Linked DNA regions of Oreochromis niloticus. The protein of the gene in region 2 interacts with the protein of the main gene of each other region in a pairwise test. Links are inferred from orthologs where the notes say so. Each region holds a gene or a part of one and is shown on either strand. Other genes may lie near its edges.

What was found.
Region 1: the proteins of dapp1 (region 2) and fxn interact in binary tests that used the Homo sapiens proteins (3 or more experiments, as listed by UniProt). The link is inferred for Oreochromis niloticus from reciprocal best matches to the Homo sapiens genes DAPP1 and FXN.

What each region holds. Positions count from the first base shown.
Region 1 is NC_031977.2:4,559,984-4,567,780, reverse strand, and holds the start of fxn (frataxin, mitochondrial), read right to left. Parts: upstream 3,005-7,797; 5' UTR 2,901-3,004; coding exon 2,793-2,900; intron 2,709-2,792; coding exon 2,628-2,708; intron 1,550-2,627; coding exon 1,458-1,549; intron 1,364-1,457; coding exon 1,243-1,363; intron 1-1,242. Other genes in the region: hmgcra (3-hydroxy-3-methylglutaryl-CoA reductase a), read right to left, coding at 6,643-6,694.
Region 2 is NC_031983.2:3,065,807-3,072,750, reverse strand, and holds the start of dapp1 (dual adapter for phosphotyrosine and 3-phosphotyrosine and 3-phosphoinositide), read right to left. Parts: upstream 3,017-6,944; 5' UTR 2,892-3,016; coding exon 2,833-2,891; intron 675-2,832; coding exon 552-674; intron 54-551; coding exon 1-53. UniProt on the Homo sapiens protein: May act as a B-cell-associated adapter that regulates B-cell antigen receptor (BCR)-signaling downstream of PI3K.

The sequences.
Region 1 (7,797 bases), on a different chromosome or scaffold from region 2:
GCTTTGTGAGATCCTGAAAGACGCAGGAATAAGTTGTAGGATTTAAGGGTGTAATAACGGACTGAAACAGAACATCTACAAGGATGCCAGCTGCTGTTAAACACCAAAGAAGAAGAAGCAGTCTCCAGTATCGTAGCTGTGTCCAAATTCAGGGGCTGCATCCTTCGGAGGCCGCATTTGTACAGCGATTACGTTACAGCAACACGACGAAGGCTGTCCAAATTTGTAGACTCCTCCAAATGCGGCCGACAAATGAGTCCTCCTTTTCCTCAGATTTGAAGGATGGGTCGGGTGTATCCTTCGTGATCCCCAACCTATCCCAGAATTCATAGCGCGGCCAAACCAATTCTAGTTCCAACAACTGTCCAACAGCTAAGTTTCCAACTTAGTTTTAATATTACTCTTATTACTCACAAAATAAAACTTCTAAGATATTCTCAGGCAAGAAGGTAGCTGTGTAAACTTCAAATATCTGCTCGGTTTATCGAGCCATCACATATTTGCAAAAGTGCTCTGACGTCTTTGGAGACGAGCTGACGGGGAGGTCAAGGCTCACCAGAGACGGCGATAACAGCGAACTCCTGGCACATCGTTTTGAAACCCCCCGCGGTCTTTGGTTAGTCAGGTTAAACAAGTCACATACAAGTCACTTAGATAACTTAAAAATGTTATTGTTTGGCTTTTTTCAGTATTTTATTTGTTCCTGAATAAATCGGTTTGGCTGAGATTAAAGTTATAGTTTTCACACAGCTGAATAAAAGTCAAACAGAAAACTGATTAAACAGCAGTGTGAGATGGTCGAGAGTTTACTCCAGTGTCCTGTTATATTTAGATAGCAAGGAGCAGACGGCTGAGTTTATTAAACTCCACCGAGACAATCTGCAAATTTCGTTAAAAGTTTAATAAACTATCGTCTTGTCTTTATTTTTAGTTAGCACATACCTGAAACACTTAAAGCTGTAAGCTAATGATAGTTATATAAGCGCAGACGCATGCTGGTGCAATAAGCTGTACATGTTACGTCCAGTGCATGCCTGATCTGATTAGTCGACTAATTGCAAAAATAATCGGTGACTAGTCGACTATCAAAATAATCGTTTGTGGCAGCCCTACTTTAATTGTATGTTCATCATTTAGTTTCTGTAAATAAGCATTTAGATAATTCTGCCATCATTTATTATGGCTACGATTAAAGTTCACTTTACAGTTAGCAACCTTTACAACATCCATAGAGTGACTTACAGAGAAGACAACATCATAGTCTGCCCCAGTAAAAGCTTCATCGGTGAGGTCTTCAAAGTAATCAGCCAGAGCATCCAGTGTCTCATCGACCAGCTTCTCATATGTTGCTACAGACAGTTCACTTTTAGAGAATGACGGAAAGTTATAAATTAGTTCAAGTAGCCAAAGCTTAAGCAATGCTTAAGGAGAAAAACAAAAATTAAAATATTGGTTACCTTACATGCACGAGGGTGACTTTTTTCTGACTTGGTGAATTCAGGTAGATGGTTTTGCTCCACCTGCAACCATTAATTCTGCTCCCGAACCACTGAAATAGAAAAGTCCAACAACTTATTTAATTATTCTTCTCCTTAGTCCAGTTTTATGCTCAGCTGGTTTCTGACAATTATGCACCTTGTAGAGTATTTATGGCCAACTTTGAATTTTATAGTTCGTATATTTTCCATTTTGAAGACAGATCATGAAATCAATCAATGTGAAACATTTGTGACACGTACTTTTATGCTTAATAAAGTGTTGAATTTGGAGGTGCAAGGCCCTCCCTGATTTCGGACTGAGACATAAGCTAATTCTAACTGTAAGCCTCTCTATTAAACTTTGTTTACTTCTTCAAAGGTTCTGTGGGCCCTTCTAAGAACTCTGAGCATCAGAACTTTCTATAGATTTTCCAGTTGGATTCGGGTCAGGTGATTGGCTGAGCCATTCTCGCAGCATCTGGCAGAGTTCAACTTTGGTGTCATCTGACCAGACTGTATTCTCCCAGTATTTCACAGGCTTGTCAAAAATTTGTTCAAAAACAGATGCAAGAATGCCGACAGTTACACACTCATGCAATAAAGAGGATGTTTATTGTATTACAACACACAATAAGACAACTGATCGACTGAGATATTGATCATTTAAGCGAATTTTCCATTAATATGGTTTATAGTGTACTGAGGTGTTTTGAGGGTTTTATTGCTTCTTTTCCTAAAGGGATGGTTCGAAAATTCCTACACCAGCAAACAGTAAATATTTGTGATAATATTCAACTATAGAAGTAATAATATTTGAACAATTCTTCAGTCAGGACGGAGTGCAGAACAGTGAGGATGTCCATGTAGAGTTTAAACAGGCCTCACAACAGGTTGTGTTTTAATTTGATACAATTCATCTTAATTTGTTACATAGTGACGACGGTTTAGTGTGTGTGTGTGTGTGTGTGTGTGTGTGTGTGTGTGTGTGTGTGTGTGGAGGGACCATTTCTGTGCCTCTCTGTAAAAACCAGACCAAACATTTGAAGATAAACTGGAGATGGCGGTGAAGCAGGCTCGGTGATAACTACAAACCGTCATTAAGTATGTTACAGTTTAAACCCATCACCACCGAGTAAAAGCTGAACTTACGCTGTGTGAAGGCCGGCAGGCGGGATGCAGCGCGTGGTTAATGAACGGACGAAGCCCCGGGAGGTGAGATAATCTCCAAAACTACAGTGGACATAAAGGACACTGTCAGTGTGGCTCGTATCTAACATTAGCATCATGTACAGTCACACTAGACTCAGCTCGTACCTGGTTCGCCAAATCCTTCTTCCTCTGCTGTGTCAGCATGCTGAACTGTGTGCTCGCGAACTGACACATGTGTGAATAAATCCCTGGTGTCTTACAGAACAAACGCATGGTTTACTGACGGTCCGACAAATACTCCCAGTGTTTTGACAGCCAACGCTTCTTCTCCTTCTTCTTCTGCTGCTGCTTTCTTTCTTTTTCGTCATTTATTGGCGGTTGCCAAACAGCACAATGGTGCATTACCGCCCCCTGCTGGTGTGGAGAATGAGTGTGTCTTAAAAAACTAAATATGGCCTGATAATACTCGAGTTCTTAAAAATACATCAACCAAGTCCATTTTCACTTTCAGATCACCGAGCTTCTGGATCAGCTGTCTTCTTTCAGCGTCATATTTCTGACATTAAAACAGGTTTTCCTCCCACTGCTTTTGACACCTTTCTTCCATTTTCTGCCGTATTATCTGTCCTGCTAACACTGATAACCAATTCACTGATACCCATGGTACCCATAAGGTGGTGATGATAAGCCCCATCTCTCTGACTCTGTACAGTGTTTGCTGAACCTCTTTCAGAATGTCTGGCCTGCTATCTGAGTCACTGTCTTGCAAACTAGCCAATGATGAACTTGAGTCTGAGCATATCACCGATCTTAATGGTCTTGAGTCTTCAGTCCACTGGACAGCTGACAGTACTGAAACCATTTCTGTACACTAATAAACTGTCACTGATCCTTTTCCTTACTTTGACATGAAACTCAGGAACAATAAATACTATCCTGCTTTGGTCGGCTGTCTTCTTTGATGCATCTTTGTAGATTTTGACATAACTGTAACACCGATCTATATATGCCTGCACTATATGTGCGTTTAAAATAAAACACCTTTTCCTACAGCATCAGAGAGTACTCAGGACAGTGCTGATCACCGCACCACCGTGTTGCCATAATTGTATCATATTCATAAACAGGTTTTCTGCCATGTGTTTAGCTCCATCCATCTTTCCATCACCTTTGACCAGCTTCCCTGTTCCTGCTGAAAAGCATCCCCACAGCATGATGTTGTCACCACCATGTTTCACAGTGGGGACGGTACGTTCAGGGTGATGAGCAGTGTTACTATTCTGGAACATGTAGCTCTTTGCATTTAGGCCCAAATCATTCAGCTTTGGTCTCTTTTACCATTTTTGGATGATGGATTGAACAGCGATGTTCAAAGCTTGGGATATTTTTTATAACCTAACTGTATAGGAATTTCTTTTACTTGTGTATTAATCACATTATTTTATTGTATAATGCCTTGGTGCCACTGGATTTTAACATGTCTGACACCCATACTGTAAGAAGGAAGTTGGGGGAAGCAGACCACTCCACAGGAAGAATCTTTTGTCTCTTTGAGGACTCTGGGAGGTAGCAAGGGAGTGTGAACCTTAAGGTGTGAAACAGCTGTGTACTGCCTTTTGTTTCTGAAGAAGGCATTTAACTGAGAGCCATGTTAGGCTTGGGAGACTCTGCTGACTGTCTGCCCCGCGATCATGCAGGCTCTTCACAAGCTTGGTTTGTCTGTTCTTTGTGTTTGATTAAAGAATGTTAGCTACCGCTCGTCTGCAGGCTTTATTTAAATGGAAAACTTCCACAACACTAACCCTGCTTAAAATATCTACAGCTTCGTCCCTGAGCTGTCTGTCAAATTCATGTTCTCTAACAAACACTGAGGCCTTCACAGAGCAGGTGTGTTTATAATGAGACTACATTACACACAGGTGAACTTGATTGTCTAATTAGGTGACTTCTGAAGGCAATTGATATCACTGGATTTTGCTTAAGGGTATCAGAGCACAGGGGGCTGAATACACACCACACTTTTCAGATTTTCATCTGCTTAAAATAACTTAATTAACTAAGAGAGGGATCCAGAAAATGGAGCTCTCAGAAATGAGGAAAAGCAGCAGACCAATGAGGAGGCTCGTGGATGCAGTGATGAAGGGCATGCAGTGGGTGAGGAACAGGGTGATGACCCACTGTGGGCGACCCTACAGAGAGCAGCTGAAAGAAGAAGAAACAACAGGCCAACTGTAACTACAGTCATGTATTTGAACCTATTCTGTCACACATCAAGTCATCTGAAAAGACGAGTGGAGATGTATTTAAATCTCTTTATACAGTAACATGGAATCAGCTTAAATCTGACATGATATACGAACATTACTATCATCCCACTGTAGGTCAGCCAATCATTTCACTCAAACATGATACCAGCGGTTGGGCCTTGGTTTGCAGGTTTCAGATCTCTGCTGACCACACCCACTGAGCAGGAGTGGACAAATTAAAAGCTTACCTGTAGCTGTCACACATTTATCAGACTCACATGTACCACACTGAATTCAACAGGACACCTACATTCTAACACTCAGCTGTAAGATCGTTTCTACAAACCTAAAGACCTCAAAACTGAGTCATTGTGTAGATTTTTTTTAAAATTCTTTTGTCTTTTTTTAAAAATCCAATGTGCAAATAAAGGTCAGATCATTTCAAGTAAATATGAAATATTATTTTTTTTAAGTCAAACAAGTTAAAATGTTCCTGTAAAGAACATCATCAGTAAATTCATTTGAAAAGGCAAAAGAAGACAATAACAAAGTACAGGGACATATTAAAGGAATTCAGTGCTGGAACTGTCCACCATTATCATCGTCATCATCAGTGTAAGAATACACACCTTGGTGAGCTGACTTACCTCCACAACCAGCACCATGAGTGACGTGGGATGGAGTTTGTCTCCAAGTACGTTTTGTCATGGTCCTGAGTCTTTGAGCGTTTTGAGTTTACTGTGGTTCAGTGTTTTGGGGCTGGGGAGATGTTGGTGTTCTGGTTCTCTGTATGGGTTTGGTCCTGCGTTTATCTGAATCCGCTGATTCCCAGTCCCTGTGTCTCAGGGTGTTGTTTGCCTGTTTTATTTCGATAGTCTCCTGCCTAGTGTCTGCAATGATCAGTTTTGCTTCCTTTGTCTCAGTACTCTGGATTAGTGTCAGCTGTGAGCTGTTCCTTCATGTTCCCTCGTGTGTGTATATTTTCTTCGTCTCCCTTTGCTGTCTGTTGTGAGCTCCCTCATGGTACGTGAGCCGCTAACCTTCTGTTAGCCTGTAAGTCAGCTTTGTTCCAGTTTTGTTGCTTTGCCTTTTGCAGCACATAAAGCTGTGGTTAAGTTTCTGTGTGATGATTTCTTCTGTTGGATCCATGCTCTGCTTCCACGTGTCTGCAGCAGCATTGCTAATGTTGCTGTCACGTGTGCTATTATGGTCAAAGGCAGTCAGCTGCTGTTGCATTACCCCAAATGTGCTTTTACTTTTGTGTAGTATTGTAGTGTTTGTGTCAGGATGTGGACAAGTTTTTATAAAACCAGCAAAATGCAATCAGTAGTTCTCTAAGAGTGAAGTGCAGACTGAATGTTTAACAACTGAAACGTGCCCTTGTTAGACAAAGAAATTAAATAATTATAAACCATACAGAGTGATAAACAGCATGTCTCACACATCAGTTACAGGTATGATGGTATTTGTATTCACAGCTCTCAGACTGGATGTAGGAGGGGAGAAATTTTAATTTGAATCCAATGGGCTGTAAAGCTTACATCATTCTGCTGAAATAAAAGAAGTCATGAACTGATCGTTCGGTGTAATCAAACAACCAGACTCAGTAAACATACTGATTCATCCTTTAATGTCAGAACAGGAACTGTTCAGCAGAAAGTCTCTTTGATTTGGATCATCTTTAAGGTCATTGATGAATCAGTCGCCCCTTTCAGATTGGCCACATGTTTCCAGTAACCTGAGTTTTCCCAGCAGGCCCAGCTGTTCTTTCACGATGCTTCCCTGGTGCAGGTTCCTGTCTCCTGCAGGTTTACCTTCGACCTGTGAACAGAAGAGTCAGATCAGGTCCCATCATGGCATCATTGCACCAAAACAAAGACAAAATAGATTCATTAGATCTTTATTGTTGGTAGAATTAAATAATGATTATGGACATTCACATTTTAAATATAACGCAATAATTTAAATGAATTATTCATTATTACAATTCATTATAGGGAATTCTTCAGATTTTGAGAATGTGATACTGCAACAGCCCTGCAAATTTCAGGAACAGCTCAATAACACAAATCAGTCTGTTTGCTTCAGTTAAGTGCTGGTCTTCTGTTTTATTGGCTGTAGATAAAGAATCATTCAGGTAAGAGTTTGTACAAACACAAAAACATACAAATTAGTCTAAGAAGGTGGTTCCCAAACTTTTTTTGCAAGGCCCCCCTTTGTTCTACAAGAACCCCCACCCCGCACAAACACATTCTCCAACCACACACACCCATATTTTGTTTATTTCACACCTCAAACCTTTTGTAAACAATTAAACAAATATAAGTAAATTGCAATAAATTACAGGTAGCAATAAAATAAACTGCTACCTCTTTGAAATAACAGAAAAACAAACCATCTTTATGTTGTCATTATTTTAGGTGTAGTTTTTTTTTCCTGTGTAATAATATTCAACATTGCCATCAATACATTTTTCAAAAAATGCCTCTCTGTGCAAAATGGGTTTAAAAACATAACTGTGGGATACTGTTTGTCCGTGATATGGACAGCCCAGCGTGTGCTCCCAACGCAGGGGAAACTAATTCTGTCGGGGAGACCTAACTTGGCACCTTCACCTGGTTTGGAAACACACACACACACACACTTTGGGAACCACAGATCTAAAAGAATCATAGATGTGTATGATCTGATGATCAAACCACCTAATATTTACAGGTGTGCAATGAAATGTGTGCAAACGCATAATTTTGCTGCATGCATTTGTGAGTACTCATCTATACACGTATAACAACCTGAATAAAGAGTTCTTATTCACAAAATCTGATCAGTTTGCTTTCAAAAAGATTTGTGTGTATAAAATGAGTATTTGTGATATTGTTTTCTCTTACAGGTTGTTAAATGTACACCTACAGACTGACTGATAC
Region 2 (6,944 bases):
CATAGCCATTGCTATTTCGTGTCACCTGAAAATGCTTCACTGAATCCTTTGCCCTATGTCAAATGATAAACAGCATAAATGTTTCAAGTCATTCACAAGTAAAAGTACACTAAACACAGACCTGTGCATATTTAGCTTAAAAATATAGCAAGTTCGTGTTTCCTTTCTTCATCATTGTTAAGATTCACATACTTCTTTTTAACAAAGTGTTTCTAGGTGGTTCAGTATCACTGATTCAGTATCACATCTCTGTCTTTCTCAAACACACACACACACACACACACGCTTAGTGTGACTAATACTAGAATACTTGGTGAAAAACTCTAACCTTTAACCTCAACATTAAGGGGATCTGGTGACTCTGTTAATACTATACACACCAGTGAGAAATAAAACCGTAGCAGACATAGGAACAAGGCAAATTTAACTAAAAGTAAAAAATAAAGTTATAATCAGGTAAGATAACTCTGCATCTGTTGTGACATCATTGTTTTGTCACTGATCGCCTGTTACGGTTCCAAACCCATGGTGCACTTCCCTCGTTCACTCACCTAACAGACAGGGCGAAGCAGCCTGGTCCCTCATTACTGTTTCTCAGGAGGTAACTTCCATCCGTCCCATTGGACAAGAGAAGGGCCTCTGCAGCATGGCGGGACAGGTCATAGTGGTACCACCTTCAAGACAATAGTAATATGATGTGAGAAGTTTATAAAATAAGAAATAAAACCATCGTTAGAGAAATGATATAAAAGGTCTCATTTTTATCTACAGTTTGACGTGCGGCCCATCTTCTAGCTACAATTCATTCTGTGTCAAATCAATTTCTAATATTTCAACAGAAACAACAGTAGTCTTTATATAACAGCATGGACACTGATCAACTGAGCTTGTGCTCAATTTACAAAGACTTAGAAAAACTTATTTGGGACCTAAAGCTGCTTGCTCAGTGTGACATACTGAAACTTTTACATACAACACTAATGTTATTTCTCCATATCACAACCATACGTGACATTTGTGAGTTAAAATGTGACCATTTTTATTTTAACAGAGAGTGAAGCTGGAATTAAGCCTGGTATAAAAATGTAGGTTAAAATAATCTTTCATGGGCTTCATCTAACATTTTTCCTGAAGATTAGGTTCTGAATTAAAATACTGACTTTTATTAGGAAAGTGTAATGCTGAGACTTCTGTCTCATATGCAGAACCTGTATGATTTTTACACTGTTGTGCAAAATTATGTTAAAGAACAGGCTTATGTTATGATTCAAGGTCATCTGTGCAGTACTGTGCACCTCAGACTGTATGGAAATATAAAGGGAACTGGTAAAAGGATGTGAAAGTTCTTAATTTGCATTAAAAGTTGCTGGGACTGTTTAAAAATATCACTGAAGGCAACAGCTCGAGAAAAAACGCTAGATTTAAAGGGTTCTGATCATATTTTAAAACCAGCTGCAGAATTAAAGTATCAGTTTAAATTCCAAACTGAACATTAAGTTTCTGTATTTCTTGTTTGCAGGGTGGCAGTCCTGAGTTTAAATGCACCATCTGGCCAGAGTCTTACTGTGTGGAGTTTGCATGCTCTCCCTGGGTACTCTGGCTTCCTCCCACAGTCTAAAGATGTAGTTAGTGTGGTTAGATGTTAATGGGCGTGTAAGTGGTTCTCTGTGTGTCTATGGTAGCCCTCTGCCTCCCTGACAACGATAGGTGAAAGAGAATGGATGGATGGATGTTTGCAGGGTTATTGTGGTATCATATAAGACTGTTCCACAAACTCCATACTGACTTTATTCAGTGCATTTATAGTAAGACCTCAGTTGTCAGAGCAGTCTGTGGATACATCCAGAGGATTGTGGATTTGGAATTTTTCACATTTGTTGCGTTTATGGAAAGCTTCTGTAACAATTCGTGAAATATATAAGCACAGCGCACAGCATCCTGTGGTTTAATATTATATTTGTCCTTCCTCAATAAAACCAAAGTATCAACAACATTAGAACATACCATGATAGAGTCATTAAGTTATTAGGGCAGTATGACCGTAACCGTTAAATACCAGCTGCGTGTTTTCGGAGTTGAGTCTCGGGCGCAGTTTAGTTCTGTGCGGCTTTAAATCGGAGCGATTTTGTCAGCACCCGACTTCCGTAAATCAAATAAACAAACAAACAAACAAACTGCTTTAAGGAGCGGAACGGACAGTCCTGGACATCTCTCCATGGCGCTTCTTTTGGAATTGCAAGTATTGTCCTGAGTTTGATCAGCGTGCAGTGTTTACGCGCAGGAGAGATCACAACATCTACAAAACATTAACGCGACACGGAGAGAATTTATAGCTGAGCAAGTGTTAATAGACTGCACAGTGAGTCGGTACTGGAACTTGTTTTTGGCACGTTACAACTGACAATATTCCCCTGCTGCAAAGTAAATTACAAGTGTACACATAACTTACGTAACAATCTGTTAACACGGAGCAGCTGTTTAATTTTGCTTTTAGAAAACGTTATATGGTAATCATTTATGTTAGTAAGTTAGAATTCTTGTAGATTTCAATTTCACAGTTTCACAAAACACTGATTTAAGAAGCAGATCCTGTCATTCCTAACAAAATCTACAGCACAAGACAGAGAAACTGAAAATGTCCAAATACAGACAAACGAGTTAGCTCTTTGTAAAAGGCGTTTAATGTGTAACAACAGAGGTATAAAGCGATGGTCTTGCTTTTTATCATGATCATAAAATCGTGGTGGTGAAGAATCACATAAAGTATCGCTTCTAGCAGTTTACCGTTTTCAAACAGGTGAAAGCTGTTTATAATTCCCAACCCGGCCTTACCCAAGACTCGCAAGCTCGTCACTCAAGTCCTCGAAAGATTCATCACTGAAAGAACTCATCTCTCCAGCAGATTTCAGTTAATCTAAGTTCGGTGTTGGTCTAAACAAGCGGAGCGGCCAAATAGAGAAGTAAAAACTGCTCAGATCAGACACGCCTACAGGAAATACACACGCTCACCAACCACTGAATTAGGCACACGAGATACTCCTCAGGGATATTGGTCTGTACCGTGCAGCTGCCGCAGATTTGTCACCTGCACATCCAAGATGGAATCTCCTGTTCCACCCACATGCCAAAAGTCCGCTAATGGTTTGAGGTCTGGCGATTGTGGAACCTCCATTTGTGTATAGTGAACTCACTGCCTTCTTCAAGGAATCAGTTTGAGATAATTTGAGGTTTGTGAAATTTTCCAGCAATCAGAAGATGATAAAGGGATGGACATAGCAGACTGTAGTGTTTAAAGAACGCTTATTGGGTATTAAGGAATCCAATCCAGGAAATGTTTTTCCTGTGTGCTTTTGTCCAATTTTGGTAAGCTCGTGCCAATTATAGCCTCAGTTTCCTGATATTTGCTGTCAGGAGTGGCACCCAGTGTGTTTCAGTGTGTTTGAGACCCCATTCCCACAAGACTACTAAAGGAAGTTGTACAATTAATTAATACTTTAATCTTAAACATGATCTCTATTAATCGGATATGTACCACAGGCCTTCAAGCTGGCAGTAGTTGAACCATAACTTAAAAGACCCAGCTGTTTTAACTGTAGGCCAATCTCCAACCTTTTATTTACCAAATTCTTGAAAGAGCAGTTGTAAGCTAACTGATCACCTGCAGATTTGAAGAGTTTGGGTCAGGTTTCAGAGCTCATCACAAAACCTAAAAAGATTTAGTGAAGGTCAGTGTCAAAGGTAACTTTATTGTCTCTAATGAGAAATTGATTTGCAGTATGTCCACACATCGAAAACAAAAACCCCAAACAAACAAAAAAAGAGAGAACATCCCAAATTTTATCAGTAGCATCAACAAAGTGCAATGTGCAGCAGTGATGGCAACAACGCTTATGGTTTAGTGTTATTAAACATGACAATAGCAGCAGGTATAAAAGACACTCGATGTCTCTTGGTCTTCACTACAGCACTTCATACCAAGCAGCTGAAAGTCTCTAAAGAGAGGACGGTCTGAACATAACATGACAGAGGTTGCCTTCCTCAGCACCAGGCTGTTAGAAAAGACCACAAACTGGACCTGAGACCAGTTGAGCATATTCAATAAAACTTTCATAAAAAGGGTCATCATTTCAGATGAAACGTTAAAAACTCTCAATCACCTTAAAAAGTACAGTTGTTGTTGGACCTTTTTCACTGTAGCATCAAAATGTGACTCAAAGGACAGAGCTTTGTCAAGAACAACCCCCAAATACTTATAATGATCCACCAGTGGCTCATGTCACAACAGGCCCATGGGAATACTCTTCACCATGAAGGACGCTTACAATGACTGTGTCATCTGCATATTTAATGAAATGCGTTTTAACCTGTGTACTACGACAGTCATTAGTGTACAAAATATACAGTAGGGGAGAGAGAAAACAACGCTGTGGTGAACCAGCTGATTGGAAAAACAGATGTTTACTCTCACACACTGAGATCTGTCAGTTAAAAAGTCTAAAATCCAACCAACAAGGTTACAAATGATCTTGTTATGGCCTCTGGCAGTGGACTCATCTCTGTGCTTGTCCTGGCAGACCTCAGTGCAGCCGTCAGCCTCTTGACCATAATATTCTATTACAGCAATTAGAGCGTCCTCTTCATTATCTTCCTCCAGTCTCCAGTAAAACTGTTAAATCCAGAATTGAATTTAAAACCCTTGTCATCACATACAAGGTCTTGAATAATCAGGTCCCATCTTATAGTAAAAAAAATCATAGTACCTGTTAGAGTGAATTGTTAAATGTTGTCATTTTTAGGCTTACCATCTCTACATTGTTTTAACTCTGTGATGAAAGGAATTCTTCTGTCCTTCCCCCCAGATTCTCGAGGCTCTGGGTGGGGGGCTGTAGTCTTTTATTACAGACACATCCTTGTGAAGGTCTTTTTGATGTAAGCTTCCTGCCCAGCAGGAGGACACACACACACACACACATTCTTACATACATACAGAAGTTCACACATATACATACAGTGCCTTGTCTTAGAACCATGTGGGCGTTGCTTTGCTGTGATGTGTTTTGTGTGAACTGCTTTCCCAATAAAAGGCAGCGAGAGGAGGCCGGATTTGGGGTCATTTTCGTGGTAGACACAGACGAGGCCTCCCTTGCAAGTAAATCGATCGATCGCTGACTGTCTTGTTTTCTTCATGACAAATAAGTCTCTAAACCAGCGGGGCTTGTGGAAACACAGACCCAACAGTACCCAATAGAGCACTTTGCTCTTGCAGGATTACTTGAGGTTTCTACGGTATTTAAAAGCAGAATGGGAAGCAGAGCTTTCAGCTTCCGGGCCCCTCTATCTTTAAGATTATGATTTCCTTTTTGATAAATCATAGTTAGCTGGTTCAGGTCACCAGCTGAGCTCCATGTGCTTCAAGGTTCAACAGGCTGCATGTTCAGAGATGTTCTTCTGCATATTTTCATTTCATATATTCATATATTTGTTAGCTGTTGCCTTCCTTTGGGCTCGAAACAAACTGGCCACTCTCCCCCATCCTTTAGCATCAACTAAGCATTTTTGCCCAGAGAACTGCCACGAACTGAATATTTTCTCTCTTTCTTTACAATGTAAACCACAGAAAAATGACAGATCAGTAGTTTCTAAACTACTCAGACCAGCCTGCATGGCACCAACAGTCATGCCACTTTCAAAGTCCCTTTTTTCATTTCCCATTCGGTGCCTAATTTGAATATCAGAAGGTCGCTCTGATCTGTTGAGGCCATACAGCAACTGAAACATCAGCTATCCCACATTTTTGAGTTGTTTTTAGATAAAATAGGACAGCTAATCAGCAAAATTGGGCCAGTCAAAAAGTGGCATTTCTACAAATGTAACTTTAATTTACTAATATGACAACGTAATATTATTATTAATATTTTTATGTGATATTGTTGTTAACATATTTTAATGGATTTAAATTATACTGAAACACATGGATTATTCCACTCTCTTGGCTCTCTGGCTTCTCTCGACTATTCTGCTCATCTTTCCACTGATTGTATTTTTTCTCTTGCAGACATCTTTTCTGTCTCTTTTCTGTTGTGTTCAGACCCTTTTCTCTCCTCTCTGTTTCTTTTCAACATGCTGTTTGTAATGTTTGATTCAACATCTATCATATTTATCACTTCATTGTGTCTCTTTCATCCTCTTCCTTTGTGATGAGGCTGATAAACCAGAGATGCTCTGAAAGTTGACAGCACAGTGGAAATGGAGGTCATTGATTTATGGGCATTCAAATTCAAATTCAAATTTTATTTGTCACATACACAATCATACATAGTACGACATGCAGTAAAAGGCTTGTTGCTGTGCAATGCCTGACCATAAAAAACTAAACATAGACATAAAACTAAACTAGCAAGAAATTTATATAATTTACAAATTAAAAATTTGAAATTTACAGTAAAATTGAAGGTAAAAAAAAATAAATAAAAAATTTATAAATAAAAAAGCAAAAATAGAATGTGTAAATTTAACAAACTTAAGAAACTATAAAAGTGTGTAAATAAACAGTGTGCAGAGTAACAGTTGCTGATGGACAGTAATGAGAGACGGGTTCCTACAGCTGGTTCAGGGACTGAGGGAAGAAGCTCCTCATTCTTTCTGTTTTGGCCTTAAGGGAGCGGAAGCACTTACCAGACCTCAACAGTGAGAAGAGTCCATTGTTGGGATGGGAGAGATCCTTCATAATCTTCCTGGCTTTGGTCTTGCACCACTTAGTGTAGACGGACAGCAGGTCAGGAAAGGCATACTCAGTTCATGTCATCTGTGAACTCCAGGGGGAAGGGTTAGCAGCAACAACACAAGGAAGAGCGATGTCTGTGGAATTATATTAATGTAAAAAGTTCTCCATGTGAAAAAACATAATCACAATCCTCACACATAAATCAACGTAAGTGCACATG